2 linked regions of the Caenorhabditis elegans genome follow. The protein of the gene in region 1 interacts with the protein of each later gene in a pairwise test. Each region holds a gene or a part of one and is shown in the gene's direction. Other genes may lie near its edges.

Region 1 (6,430 bases):
ATAAAAGTTTATGTTTAGAAAAGAACTAGAAAATTAAACAAATTCTGAGTATTTAGGAAACAATTTTTATTCTCAAAAAAAGAACGAAAGTTTACGAAAGTTTCACAAACACATTTTCTATAATTTTTTAAAATACTTAATTTTTTTTCTTTGGTCCAAGAGCAGGTATCTGAAATTCCTTTGATATTTTGAAGGTAAATTCTAATTCCGAAATTTTAAAAATTTTCTGAAACTTTGAAGTCACGCCATGGCCGATTTTTATTTTTATTTTCGCGGTCACCTGCTCCTAAAAGCATAAAAATCCGGAATACCCAAACCGAAATCTGAAAAAACAGAAACAAATCAAATCAAATCACTCTAAAAATGTGTTATCATAGTCGAATGTTGTGTTAAACGTCTTCGATCCCCGCCATCCCATTCCGCCGGTCTCCACCACCTCTGCGTCTATCGCTGCTCCACACTATTTTGCCCCTACCCCAGCTTCAGTTCGGATGTCCGCAATCCGGATTTTGTTCGTTTCCTTCCTTTTTCGGGCGGATCAACGGCTTCTTATCTGATATGATTCGGTTTGAAGGAGATGAAGATGGTTGTGTTGGGGGAAGAAAAGAAGGAGAAGCCTAACCGGGGGAGATTGTCAGCCAGCCACCCCCTGCTGAGATATTGTGTTTAATGACATTTTCCATTTTTCCCGAATTATCTATTTTTACAACAATCCATACCTTTTTATCAGATTTTGCTAAAGTTTTGCCAACTTTCGCCAACCTTCGTTAGACATTTGTCAACTTTCAAAAAGCAATTGCAATAGTTCCAAACTGCTGCTCAATTTTTGACCAACTTTTTTGAATTGTTTCTATACTTTCAATATTTTTTAAAAACAACTTTCGCGAACTGTCGCTAGACTTTCGGCAAGAAACAACTTCTTCTGAATCTACGACAATTTTCTGCAACTGTTATCAGATCTTCGACATTTTGAGCAACGTTTGCCAACTTCTGTTAATTTTTTCTAGACTTTCAGCAATCCCCGCAAGGTTTTTACGAACTCCGACCAACCTTCGCCAAAATTTCATCAATTTTCACCAGTGTTTTTCAAGAAGTTGCGTTTTTCTCAAACTTGTGGTAGATCTTTGGCAGACTTTTGTTCAATTTCAGTCTATTTTAACTTTCGCTATACTATCACCAATTTTCATCAACTTTGTGCAACTTTCGTCAACCAATTTCCCTCTAATTTTCATTCCCAATTCCGCTTAAAGCTTCAACTAAAAGCAAAATAAAAAACCGAATATCCCCCAATTTTCCAATTTTCCTGCACCGGAAAAAACATAGAGCTTCTTCCCCTTCTTCTTCTACTCCATCTCCACCCACACATACTACCGGTTCTCCTAGATTTTCAGTCTAAACCATTTCAATTGTGTCTTACGGTAGTTTATCATGAGATTTAGATGGAATTGAAGAAGAGAGAAATGACACGAAAGAGTGTGTAAACTTTTTATTACATTTTGGAAGACTAACCATGTCGTAGTACACACTCAGGCTTTTTGGCTTTTTGTGTCTAGATTCCTCTGCATGATCTACAGAGATTTTTTTGGCAGATTGCCAAAATTTACTTAAATTTCTGACAAAAAAATTAAAATATTTTTTTAAAAAGATTTTTGTTTTAAAGTACTAAAACGTAACCTTCTGCAATTTCAGAAAGTTATAATCTAGATTATTAAAAAATCTCACAATTTAAAGTTTCCAGAAAATTTTTAAATCTGAAAATGATTTTGAAAAACAATTCGGCATTCGACAAAATTAATGTTTTGATTTAAATTTTTTTGAAATTCTCTTTTTTAAAAGTACCAGTTTTCAATATTTTGTTATCAGAAATATTTCAGAAAAATTTTGATTTAAAAAACATTAACTGAAAATTCAAAAAATATTTTTTTGTGTTGATTTTAGAAATTTTAAGATTTTTTAAAATTGGGTTTTGCAAATATTAATCTTTTGAAAATGTTTTAAACAAAAATTAACAATTTTTTAATATGAATATTTTAAAATTTCCCTTTAATTACACAATTTTTTCTACATTTCTCCAAATTAAAATAGTTAAAAGAATAATTTTCAAAAATAATTCAACATTTGAAACAAAAAACGGATATATGTATATATATATATATATTCTTATGTCTTATTTCCTTTTTTCCATTTCTAGATTATCCCAGCTTCTGACTCCCCTTAGCCTTTTTTTTCTAAAAATCTCAAATTTTTCCGTTTCAGACCCCTTCTAAATTTAAATCCACTCAAACAGATGGCCTTCCAGCCGGCGTTTAACGCCCGTCTGATAAACGAGGTTCGTAAGTACCCGTGCCTATATAATCATTCACGACGTGGCAGCGGGGACACAATGGAACGTCAACGACTTTGGGAATCAATCGCCAAAAATATTGACCCGAATTGTGCGGCAGAGTTTGCGAAGAAACGATGGTTGCAGCTGAGGGATCGATATCGGAAAGAATTAAAGATTGCAATTAAAAATGGATTTGTGACACCTGTTAGATGGTGTTATTTTAATCAATTATCGTGGTTGGACCCGTTTTTGAAGGATAATATGTAAGAATTGAATTTCATAATTATTTTTCAACTCGTTTTTTTCTGGCCATCACAAAGCTAATTTTTTAATATTTTTTCTAATATTTTTTTGTTGAAAAACCGCGAAATTTTTGGTTTGTAGGCATATCAAAACAAAAAACTGAAATTTAAAAAATAAGTTCACCTAATTTGAAATATATCTAAAGAGTCTAAATTAACACTTCAAAAATTCAGAAAAAAAAATTTGAAAAATCTCATTAAAAAATCAAAAGTTGTAGATAAAATCAAATTCAAAAAAAAACTTCAAAAATACTAAAACATTTAATTAAAATTCCAGAATTCTTTTTTTTCTTAAATTAAAAATTATAAAAATTAAAAAAAAAACAATTTATCGACAAAAAACTGATCGATTCGAAATTTAATATTTTGAAAAAAAATTAAAATTTTCTACAAAAAATTAATTCAAGATATATCAAAAAGAATCTGAAAAGTAAAAAATAATAATTTAGAACTCCGCGATTATAAGTTAAAATTCTCATCTTCAAAGTCTATTTTTTGCAGTGGTCAAGCAGCAGATGAAGGCAAAAAAACTGGTAAATCTGACTCTTTTGATGAGCCATCAGGCACACCGTTCAGCTGGTTCGGTTTTCCAAATTTAAATTCAATAAAAGACGAGATGGAAGATGATGATAGTGATCCAGCACTCGAATCTTCGGTTTTAGACCGACTACTTGCACAAACCGCCCAACGATTGGACAGTATATCCCCTGAAATTGAAAATGATGAATCTGGAACTCAAAGTCTCGATGGAAATCTAGATGGAGTTGATGGGGATGGAGATGAGGAGGAAGATCTTAAAATAAAAGATGAAGATGAAGTAGAGGAAGATGGCCCAGAAAAGGTGAAAAGTCAATCCGAAGCTATGGCGATGCTCAAGGAGGCTATAAGTGCTCAGAGCCAACAGCAGACTCAGCAGGCTCAACAGGTCCAGCAGGTCCAACAGACCCCACAGAAACCATCAGTGGAGTCCCTCATAGCAGCGAATCAGGCTAGATTTGCACACCATCTTGCTGCACAGCTCACTGGGATGAGTTCAATGCTCAATGGAGCCAGGAAATCCGAGGAGGCAGCGATCCCGCCGCTCCGACCTTCAACACCACCGCCAACCGCGTCCACTACGAGCCACTTCCATCCTTATAAAGAGGCGGCGAGGAATAGGCATAGGCAGCAGACTGCGGATAATGTTATGAGATATCATTTGCAACAGGTGAGCGGGTTTGGAACATTTGGTAAAAAAAATTTTTTTCGGAAGGATCGTGATTTTCCTGGATTTTTTGGAGATTTTTGATTTTTTTAAAATAATTTCTCTGAAACTTTCTTAAATTAAAAAAAAATTCTAGATTTTTTGTAAAAAATATTAGATGCGATTGAAAATAGTTTGCTGAATTCTTGGAAACTTCGGATTTAGTTCTGTTTTTTTTAATGTTACCTTTTTTCGGAAAATTTAGTGATTTTCAAGAAAAAATGTTAAAGTTAAAAAATTTTTTAATGAACTTTTCGGAATGATTTTTTGAAGGTTGAAGTGTATAATTTTCAGAATTTTTTTTTGGTTTTCTGAATTACATTTAATTACTTTCTAGATTATTAAAATTTAATTTTTATTAAAAAAATATATTCGGAAACATTTTAAGTGTTTCTAGTTAAAAAAAATTTTTCGAATTTAAATATTTATTTCAAGTTTTAAGAGATTTTTAAATCGAAGTTTCTGGATTTTCTTACCAAAATTAGGATTTTTTCTCAGCAAATTTCAAAAATTTATAACGTGTTCCTACATTAGAAATTTTAAGAAAGAATTTCTAGAATAATATAACTTTTTTCCAGGTCGGTCGGGTTGCTCTTGAATGGCTCAATGATGAGGATTTATTGTACAGCCGGATAATTGGGTTGAAGCTTAAGAAAATGGACCCGAAAAAACGGAAAAAGGTGAGAGATTGTTTTCAGATATATTCAACAAGTTCAGACTCCAACTTTTTTCAGGTCCGTCACCAAATAATGTCACTACTGGACGAAACCGATGACACCCACCATATTGTAGACAATGATGACTCTTGTAGCAGTCCATCAGCACATAGTCCAACCGGAGAGCACGATGAAGATTGCGCAGTTGAGCCAACGGCAAATGAAATTCCAACGGCTTGAAAATTAGTCTTTTGTTTGTAGTATATGGGTCCCCCCCCCCACGAAAAAATGATTTGCGCCTTCAAGCTAAAATGCAAAAATATGCCTGATCGGTTTAAAAGGCGCATAATTTATTTTCGTGTCGAGACCTAAATTCTGGTAGGCTACTGTAACATTGAAAAAACACTTCCTTTATTTTTCAAAATATCTATTTTGTGTTTTCTTATTGGTGCTCTCCTCATTTTATTAAATGTAGAAAACGAAAAATGTTCAAAAACTAGTTTTTAGTGTATTCTCACTCCCCGTCGGTCTAGTCAGTGCGCAATTCTTTCACTTTTCTTTTGTTCCCTCCATAATTTCAGCATTTTTTTTATTTTTTGAAATTAGTCTCTACAAACACCATCATCTTGCCTGTATATTTTTGTACCACGATTTTTTTATAATAAACGTGTATTTTTTGGTTTTGGACAGAGCGCGTGCTCCCTCCGACTCGCGGATTCTGAATTGTTCTGTGTATTTTGGAGATTTTCCTGAAATTGTTAATTTTTGGAGAAGAAGGAATTTTTATTTGCTAGACCTTTCTGGAAACAGCTAGATAACTCTAGTTTTTTAAAGGAGTTTTTAAAAAACTTCCGAAAATTTTTTTTTTTTTCAGAAGTTCTTGCCCAAATATTTCAGACATTTTTCAGAAGTTTTATCATATCAAATATATTTTGTAATTTTTCCCACATTTTTTCCAAAAATTTCCTTCACGTGAACTTCCACAATTTCAACCGATAACATCTTCCATGCAAAATGAATTATTTCCAACAATTTGTTTCAACTTTCCAACCGGTCAATTAAAGTTGCACAATGTATCAATTATTATTCTACAACGTCATCTGCGCGATCATGTTTTTCATGACTATAACCTCAAATTGTCTGAAAGGGAAACCGAAAGAGGGCAGGTTAGGATTAATGTTTCTAACTAAACGTGGGAGATTCCAGAGCCAAAGAAACCCCCAAAAGTGATACCAATCCGTTACGAAACCGATCCTGCCGTGCTGGAGAAGGAGCGGAAGATGAAAATTGCAGAAAATCGGGAGAAAATGCGAAAAAAGAGGGAGAAACAACAACAACCACAATTCGAAAAGGCTGTGGTGGAGACTGTTGTTAAAAGGGAGGTGGATCAGAAGGAAATGGTAATTCTAAATAGGGACGGACCCATCGCTGCGATTTTCAAAAATATTTGCAGGCTTAGTAACTAGCATACAGTGATCCATTTTTCAGAAGCTGGAAGATGTAACGCAACCTTCAGCATCTATCGAATCCAACGAGCAGCAACCATCGCAAGATACCAAGAATTCGCAGCCGAGTGAGGATGAGAAGGAGAAAAAGACCAGAACTTTGACTGTGACGGACGAAGATCTTGGCAATGTGAAACTGGTTGAAAATGATCCGGATGGTGGTGAGCACATAGATTTTTTGATTTTTTGATGGATCCTAATTATCAGGTTACAGGAAAGAAGCTGAAGCTTGTTAAAAAGCAAGCTCGTGAGCAGGCCAAGCAGAAGGAGCTGGAAGAGCAACTGATTCGCCAGATTCAAAGATCGGAGGTTATTTTATTATTTCGAGTTTCCATTATCTTATTTTCAACTATTTCAAGTCACGTCAAAGCCCAGACGACACAATGAAAAATGTTTCT
Region 2 (9,107 bases), 1.4 Mb from region 1:
TCGAAAGCTGAAAATCTGCCATGCCAGCACTCCCTTCCAAGTTCCAAAAACGGACAATTTTTTGAACCAATTTAAAAAAAGCGTTACATATTCATGCCATCACTTCTCTTTTTTTTCATTCGCATCTTCTCCATCTTGATCCAGAGAGGGGCAAGTCGATGCCGTTTCGTGTTTGTTGTATTGCCAATTGATCCTAATCGCATTGATGCAATAGTCTGGCATTGCTTCTTCTTCTTTCGGCAAAACCTTTTCATTTAGTCCGGTTCCACACGGGCCTCCTTTTTTGCCCTTTTTGCTTTAATTTTTCACTTTTTATAATGCGTGTGTGTGTGTATATCTTTTCGCTTGCCCCTCTAATACTCACTTTTGCGCATCACCATCTTTTCACTCATTACAGTGGATTTCTGAAAGAAATGGAAACGCATGTTACACTCACACCTTTCGCTAGCGTCTTCATCTCTGAATCCTTTCGTTTTCGGTCACTCAGCAAACATGTTACCTCTCTCTCTTTCTTTCTCTGTCTTTTTCTGTTCCATTTGTTACGCAATCGGAATAGAAAAGCAGTTCCAAACTGCCCGTTCTTACCCGCCCTTCCAAGTTTTCTCTCAATCATTTCCCCTTCGATTGCCTAATCTTCCAGTTTGGCTTCTTCATTTTCCCTTAACAATTTAGAATCACATTTTTCTGAGCTTCATCTAATATTTAAATTTGTGCCAAGCGTTCCTACATTGCAAATCAATTGTGTCTTTTTAGGCTCTAGCTTCAAATTTGAGCTCAGGAACAGCTGATCCATAGTTTTTAGTTTGGATCAAAACCTTCAAAACTTGTGTCTTATAAGGCGTAGGTTTGAGGTAGGCAAAAATATAGTTTTCACTTGATTTGGAGAAACTGAAAATTCTCAAAAATGTTCGTCGAATTTTATTCCGACAATTTTCAACTTACCGACAATTTTGGTGCATGTTTTCAATCTGGATTCAGTTGTTTTAAATATTTAAAATACAAGTTAATGTCTGACAAAGCAAATATAGTTATATGTATTTTTTTTTCAATTTTAATGACAAATATTGGGAGAAAATGCCACGCTAGCTCATTTTTTAGAATTTTTGGACACAAAAACATCAAAAAATTTTTGTAGAGACAATGCATATTTTACACGACCACAGCCACAGTACCCGCAAGTATTCTGATATGTATTTTGAACAATTATTCGATATTTTATGTGTTTGCAAAATTTTCCAAAAAATTGAAGCTTCTGAGTTTTAAATAGTGTCAAAAACAGGCAAGACAATTTCGAATCACTTGTAGGTGCGGTAACTGCAAATTTCAAGTTGTTTCGTAATCCGTACCAGGGGTGGGCAGCAAACGATCCGGCAAATCGGCAAACCGGCAAATTGCCGAAATTGGAAATTTCCGGCAAACCGGCAAATTGACGATTTGCAGAATTTGCCAAAAATTTTTTGCCCTTTTTTTTTTGGAAATTTCAGAACTTCAATTTCAGACAGCCGAATTAAGCACATCCTATGAATATTCCTACATTTATTTCAATAAGTAAGCAAATTCTGTTAAAATAACTAGAAAAAACGGGAAAAATTCAAAATGGCACAGTTTTAAGTGTTTACGTCCTGTAAATAATCCCTCTAGACATTTCCGGCAAATCTGATATCCGGCAAACGGCAAATCGGCAATTTGCCGAAAATGAAAATTTCCGGTAAATCGGCAAACCGGCAATTTGCCGATTTGTCGAATTTGTCGACAAATCAATTTGCCGAACCGCAATTGCCGCCCAGCCCTGATTCTATCGCATTTATTTTTGTGTCAAAAAGCAGAAAACTCCGCAACTGGGTAATTTTATATTTTATAGGGCTCCTAAACATCTTAAAGTTCTTTCAACTGGGGTTTTTGTAGGGAGCATCGCAGAATTTTGAAAATACTGGATTTTAAAATCATGTTTCTCCCTGTTCTATTACTTTTAACTGATATACCCCCTGATCCAATGATCTCCAATCAACTGATCGCAATCACATGCCCCCTCCGAACTAGCGGACACATGAATAAAAATCAGCTGTTAAGTCCATGTCGAACCCCTCGTATCTTGTGTAATAGACTGCTCACAATTCTTTTTTGTTCTTATCACCATCACATGAATTGTCATTTCTCGAGACCGGTTCTTCGCTTCTCTGCGTCTCTCGATCTCTCGCCTTATTTTCAGACCGTGTTTTTTACTTTCAAATTTCAGTTCATTTCAACTTCCCCTCTAAGTACATAACCTCTTCAAATATCAAATATTTTGTGTGTCATAGTTATGTTTAATCTTCTCTCATTTTCACTGTTCTCTCATTCTCGTTTATCCGCAACTGACCCTGAAATTTTTGTGCCCGCCGTGTTTTTCACGAATTTCACAGTTTTCAGGGGTATTGGCTGACCGCGACACATTCATCCCGTTTTTCAGATTTTTTACATATTTAATCAAGTCAGGGAAGGCGCACGATGAGCAAGGTGAAAGGGTGAGATTTTTGACGATACTTTTAGAATTTTCGAGGCTAAAATACAAATTTCCGGCAAATCGGCAAACCGGCGAATTGCTGAATTTGCCGAATTTGCCGGAAAAACGGCTTTGAAAGCTTTTTGGAAATTTTAGAATTTAAATTTTAATCGGCAAAATACTACGACTATTTTAAAAAGTAAGCAAATTCTATGAAAATATCTAAAGAAAATCGCGGAAATAATAAACATTTCTGCCGGAAATGAAAAATTCCGGCAAATCGGCAATTGTCGAAAATTTCCGGCAAATTGTGGTTTTGCACGGTTTTTTTGTTGGAAATTTCGGAATTTCAATTTTAATAGACAAAATTGCACGCATCAAAAAATCAAGGTTTTAAGTGTTTTCGTCTTATAAAAAAATCCCTTTAAACATTTTCGGCAAATCTGATATCCGGCAAGCGACAAACCGGCAAATTACCGGAATTGAAAATCTCCGTCAAAAAAAATGTGCCGACAAAAAAATTGCCGAACGGCAATTGGCCGCCTCTGTACATATATATCGACTAATTATTAAAGAAATATGAAAACATAAGAAATAGATGAAGAATTTGTCTAGTTAATAGGTAGGGAAGTAGGCACGTAGGTTTTTTGTGCCTACATGCCTATATGCATAGTGCATAGGGACAGAAAATCTGAAGTTCTAAAAAAATGCTTAAAAACTTGATTAAAAAGTGTATGATTTTGTGCCTACACAGAAAATTTGACTTTGTTTTTTTTTGTTTAATTCCAAACGCGTAAAGCTTTCAAAAATATTTGTTCTGAATATTATCCTTGCTGAAAACACTTTAAAATATATATTAAAGCTTCCTTAAAAGTTTAGTTGAAACCTCCATTTATTAAAAAAAAGTTTTAAAAAAGTTCATAACTTATTCAGTTGGTGTTCCATTGTGACATGGCTATATATTCTTGTCAAGAATATGTATATCTAATTAATAATTTTATTACCACAAAAAATTCCCTTCAAAAGTGTAAGCTGGAGCAATTTGAAAATGTGCAATTTTTAGAAATTTTTAATTTTAAAAGTCAAAGCAAAATTTTAAATAAAATTTTCATAATTGATATTAAATCAGTTTTTGTGCAATTTGTTAAAAGGTTTAATTGAAATTATTGATGCACTATATTTTACGTGTCACATTTTTTACAGCTAAAGCTGTAATTTTGAAAAAGCTTGATAAGTCTAACTAGTGAGATTAAGTGCACTATTTGTGAACAGAAGAGATAAATAAATATCCTGTTCGTTATCACTCGAACGGTTTTATCAGCCGAGATATAGTGGACAGAACAGTGACAACGCCAAAAACTGGCAATAATGATACTTCCTCCCCTCCCCATCCCAACTTTTTTGGATTATTTCATACCCACAACTTATTTATTTTCCAGAGATCTCGAAAAGTCTGACAAGCGTCCACCATCGTCCATGTCAACTGGTTCAGCTGACAGTGGTGTATTCTCATCGGGAGTTCATGCTTCATCACCTAGTCATAGTCAAGGATCATCATCGCAGAGTGGGCCACCGAGTCCTACTACTCAGTTGAACTCGTTGCTTTTTGAAACTGCTAACCTGATTGCGGTGAATGAGCAATTGAGAAAGGAAATTGCAGAGTTAGTTTTATTTTGTTGCTTGGCTCCAGTTTCTTGCGCAAGTTTTGCCCGAAAAAATTAACTTGGAATTTCGGCAATTGCCGGTTTTGGAAATTTTCGGCATTTGGCAATTCTGTGCAATTGCCGGTTTTAGAAATTATCGGCAATATTGGCAATTTCTGCATTTGCCAGTTTTAGAAATTCTCGGCAATCGGAAACTGCAGGTTTTGGATATTTTCGGCAATTGGCAATTTTGACAATAGCCGGTTCAAAAATTACATTACTTTGAGCTTGAAAAAAAAAAAGTTCATTAAAGTGCATGTTTAAGGTCCGGCAGTTCTGATTTCCGAAAACCGGCAATTCTGACGATTGCCGGTTTCGGGAGTTTTCTGCAATCGGCAAATTTGGCAGTTGCCGAAATTGCCGAAAGCAGAATTGGGCCAAATTTCGGTTAAACTTTGGGCCTAAATGTCTTGCCCAACTGTTGCCCAAGTTAACTTTTTTGTGCCAAATTTGGGCAAGAAGCTATGTTTGAAACCTAAACACCAAACACTGTTTTTCAGAAACAAGCAAATCCAGACGAACCAGATGCGAGCACTCAGATACTCCTCAAATCCAGTCGATCAGCCATTTGTAGCGAATTCGATATCACCACATCACGGGTTTCCACAGTGAGTTTTAATTATTCAAATTGTTAAACCAAAAGAAATTCAAAATCTTTTTGATTTGGAAAAAATGTGAAAAAACCAAATCAAAAACCATTGAAAAAATTCAAAGATAACGTACCAAGTTTCAACGCATGTATCTAAACTATTTTTTGTGATATCAAAAAGTTTTTAACTGCACTAATGTAGCTGATAATGTGATAAATATTTTTGTAGTTGAAAATGCTTTCATAGCGCTTAAAATAACTAAGATGTAAGGTGTCAAAGTAGTGGAAAATTTCCACAAAAAAAAACCATTTTTAGAGTTTCTCCTAATAATTACATTTTCCAGACGCCCCCCTCGCGGCGAACGGCGGATGCAAAAGCCCGAATCTTACAAGACGGTCATTTGTCAGGCATGGCTCGAGTCGAAAACATGCACTTTTGCTGAAAATTGCCGATTTGCACATGGAGAGGAAGAGCTGCGCCCGGCGAAGTGAGTTTTCAAAATTTTTGCGCATAACTTTTGGCGCAGGGGTGGACAATTTGCCGATTTGCCGGAAATTTCAATTCCGGCAATTTGCCGATTTTCGGAAAAATTCAATTCCGGAATTTTATCGATTTGCCGGAATTTCTATTCCGGCAATTTGCCGATTTGCCGGAAATTTCAATTCCGGCAGTTTACCGATTTGCCGGAAATTTCAACTCCTGCAATTTGCCGCTTTGCCTGAAATTTGACGCGCAAAAACCCTGAATATTTTCAGACTGGAATCACGACAAAACAACAAGTACAAGACGAAACTTTGTGACAAGTACACTACCACTGGACTATGCCCCTATGGCAAACGGTGTCTTTTTATTCATCCCGATAATCAGCCAAATGCATATATCAGAGCTGATAAGCTTTATGAGGTTAGTGATGGAGAGGTGGCCTAGAAAATTCAAGTCGGCTATCTTTTGAAACTAAAATGTATTATCTAGACTAGAAATTTTGGATTTTTTGCCCAAAATTGCGGTACCCGGTCTCGACACGACAATTTTTACTAGATTTTGAAACTACACTATTCTTTAAAGGCGCACACCTTATTGTATATTTGCTTCACCAACAAAAATATTTCGCGTCGAGACCAAGTACCGTACCTATGCCGCAAAAATCGCAAATTCCTGTAATTATTCAAAAACTCCAATTTTCAGGTCTCGCAGCGCCACGCACTCGCAGATTTACGGGATCACGTGGAATCACAGATTATGACAGGAAATACGAGAAACTCGTATAATCAACAGCCGCCACCGATGGGCGGTCTAGAAATGCAATCTTCACCGATGAAATCGAGTTCTGACTCCAGTCATATGCGTTCTCCAATGGCTCAGATGAATTGTGAAAGTGAGTTTTTTAAAATAATTTTTTAGAAAAAAAACAAGTTTCAATAAATTCCTTGAAATTTTTTTTTCAGCCACGCGTCCTCACCCTAGCTGGCCGTTGGAATCTTCGTCCTTTTTCTTGCCACCCGAAATGTCTTCAATCAATAATAATAATTTGATGAGCCCATTTGAGACGCCATTTCCCAACGGCTCCACGGGAATTCAACCACATTTTGTGACAGGTTAGATTTATGGGATATTACGGGAACACAAAATTCTGAGAATGCGTATTGCGCAACATATTTGACGCGCAAAGTATCTCGTAGCGAAAACTACAGTAATTCTCTAAATGACTACTGCAGCGCTTGTGTCGATTTACAGGGCACAGTCTCCTCCAGTGGAAATTTTGGTTTGTTGGCGCACTTCTCGTGCATCGCGTGCAAAATTGAGAAATTTCCGAAAACGTTCAATTTACTGTTTTTCTTCATATTTTTCATAACATAAGCTTTGGTGGAAGATTACTTTTCAAATGAACATCAAATTCCACTAGAAAAATGATGAAAAATATACGAAATATGAGAAAAACTCAATTTTTAGCGGTTTTTTCTTTTTATATCAGCGCTTTTATTTTTGAACCAAAATCAAAAATCTTTTTTTTTCCACCTTGCCCTTAATTAGCTTTACAATTGATACGTAATTAAAAAGTTTGAAATCGATTTTAAACCCGTGAAAACTGAAGGAAATCACTTTTCAACGGTAAAATTTTCCCACGCTCACGAGAAACGCGCAAGCCCCCTTGTTGGGTCATTTCCAGGAGGCTGTGCAGGGCTCTAGATTTTTGAAAAGAAATTCATTTCGAAAATCGAGCGCTACAGTAGTCATTTAAAGGATTACTGTAGTTTTCGCTGCGAGATATTTTGCGCGTCAAATATGTTGTGCAATACGCATTCTCCGAATTCTGTGTTCCCGTAATAAATTATTCCCCCATTTTTGTGTGAAATTTGTAATTTTTCTTGAAAAAACTTGTGAGCTTGAATTTCTCAAACTTGCGCGTCAAATACGAGGTACTAGGTGCAGTGAACCACAGAATCCGAATACTGTGCAAACACCGACACAAAGCGTCATATTTCACTCGCAAATTTGAAAGATCAATAATGGTTTTTTTTTTCGTGGAAAAAACACAAATTTCAATTTAAAATTAAAAAATTCCGAATTTTCAGCAAAACGGAGAGCAGCCTTTCCTCCAGTGCCTTCCAATTTCCAACAAGACGATGATAATATGTCATCAATTCCAGGATTCGACCATCTTGCAGAGGATATGGCTAAACATCTTGAATTGTGGTGACATTTTTCAGTTTTTTTTTAATTTGAAATTTGTTTGTCTTCCTTGTCTGTGAGTATTGTTCAACGATTAGTTACTAATAATATTTGAGTAGCAAGTGGTCCTAAATCCTTTTTTTTAAAGATTTTTAAATTTATAATAAAAATGGGACCACCTGATACACATCTCACTAATATTTTTTTCGCTTCTTTTTTTGAAAATTTTTTATCTCCTAATATTAATTATTTTTATTGCTCCCCCTAAATAAAGTTTTAATTTTATTTCACACAAGGGATAATACACGTTGCAAAAAGCGCAAAATCCTAAGCTTCTTTCTCTAAAAATTTTGGATGAGGTTGGTTCTTTTCTTTTTTTTTGGGAGGGAGAAACGGAATAAAACCGGAATATGGAGCAAAAAAGAGACGGGAAAAACGAAATTGATGCATACTGACTACGAAAATCAAAAAGAAAAGGCATCTAGAAAGTCGTGTGAACAATTCTGAAACAGGCAAATGTACAATTGAACGGGGACTTTTTGCAAAAAAAAAATTTGAAGGAATAAGTGAGTATTTTCGATCGAGATGCTCCGCACAGCTGCTCACTTTCCGATCCGTTGGCGGACCTTGTTGTACTTGTCCGTGAGCCGGTCCACTCCTGACGCGAATCGTCGATAGCCATTTTGCATGTGAGCAGCAATCGCCAAGACTACGTAATAGGTCTGTTGAGTCAACTTCACTCCGTAGAGAATCACGTCTTTTGTCACGTTGTAGAGCAGAACCTGAATAAAAACTGTTTTGTTTTTGAATTCAAAAATTTATCCAGAAATTTGTGCGAATTTAAGGTTTTGAAGAAATAGTATTATTTAGGGCTATAAATTCTGCTATTTCTGCGCAAAATATTACGGTATCCGGTCTCGACACGAAATATTTTCTTGAAGCGCGGAGGAAAGGTGTGCCGCTTCAAAGTGTACTGTAGTTTCAATATTTCAATGTTGCAGAATTTTTATCGACTTTTTATAGTTTTTTCCACGATTTGTCAACTCCTAATGTTTTTTCTTGTTATATTTGAGTTTTTTAATTAAAAATAATTTTTGAAAAACAATGAAAAAACCGCATCAACAAGAATTTTGAAAAAAAAAACAATTTTTGAGTTTTTGTTGATTTTTTATAGTTTTTTTTGTTAAAAAAATATATTCATTTTTTTTATTTAAAAGCTCAAATATAACGGTAAGAACACAATAAATCTTAACAAATCGTGAGGAAAACTTCGATTTTTGATTTTTATCATTTTTGTCAAAATCTATTGTGTTTTTATTGTTATATTTGAGCTTTTAAATAAATATATAATTTTTTTTAATAGAAAAACTATATTTCAAGCTTGACTAATAAGAGTTTCAAACTACAGTAACCTTTAAAGGCGCTCGCCTTTTCGCATTTGAAAAGAATTTGTCGTTACGAAACCGGGTACAGTGTGTCTGACTCAAAAATTAAAATTTTGAATTAAATTTTAAGTCTGGGTGATAATATATTTTTTTAGAATTCGTCAAAACTAAGAATACAGCACACGAGAACGATTTTTCAAGCTCATTTTTTCATTTTTTAAAAGTAATTTTTCAGTTTTTCTTTTGAAGAAAACAACAATGTGATTAAAACAGGAGA

Evidence for each region. The genes of interacting proteins can lie anywhere in the genome.
Region 2: the proteins of madf-5 (region 1) and moe-3 interact in a two-hybrid assay, tested with the Caenorhabditis elegans proteins (one large-scale study listed by BioGRID).

The regions. Positions count from the first base shown.
Region 1 is NC_003280.10:14,571,359-14,577,788, forward strand, and holds madf-5 (Alcohol dehydrogenase transcription factor myb/sant-like protein), read left to right. Parts: upstream 1-2,256; 5' UTR 2,257-2,287; coding exon 2,288-2,589; intron 2,590-2,858; exon of another isoform or gene 2,859-3,051; intron 3,052-3,129; coding exon 3,130-3,835; intron 3,836-4,449; coding exon 4,450-4,551; intron 4,552-4,605; coding exon 4,606-4,767; 3' UTR 4,768-5,203; downstream 5,204-6,430. Other genes in the region: C01G12.13 (uncharacterized protein), read left to right, coding at 5,599-5,689, 5,734-5,927, 6,016-6,193, 6,247-6,341, 6,392-6,430.
Region 2 is NC_003280.10:13,159,036-13,168,142, reverse strand, and holds moe-3 (CCCH-type zinc finger protein moe-3), read left to right. Parts: upstream 1-2,409; 5' UTR 2,410-2,487; coding exon 2,488-2,504; intron 2,505-3,921; coding exon 3,922-4,143; intron 4,144-4,685; coding exon 4,686-4,793; intron 4,794-5,118; coding exon 5,119-5,262; intron 5,263-5,530; coding exon 5,531-5,678; intron 5,679-5,960; coding exon 5,961-6,150; intron 6,151-6,220; coding exon 6,221-6,370; intron 6,371-7,348; coding exon 7,349-7,473; 3' UTR 7,474-7,728; downstream 7,729-9,107. Other genes in the region: F32A11.1 (Mitochondrial import inner membrane translocase subunit Tim21), read right to left, coding at 8,048-8,227. UniProt on the Caenorhabditis elegans protein: Zinc-finger protein that may play a role in oocyte maturation and fertility.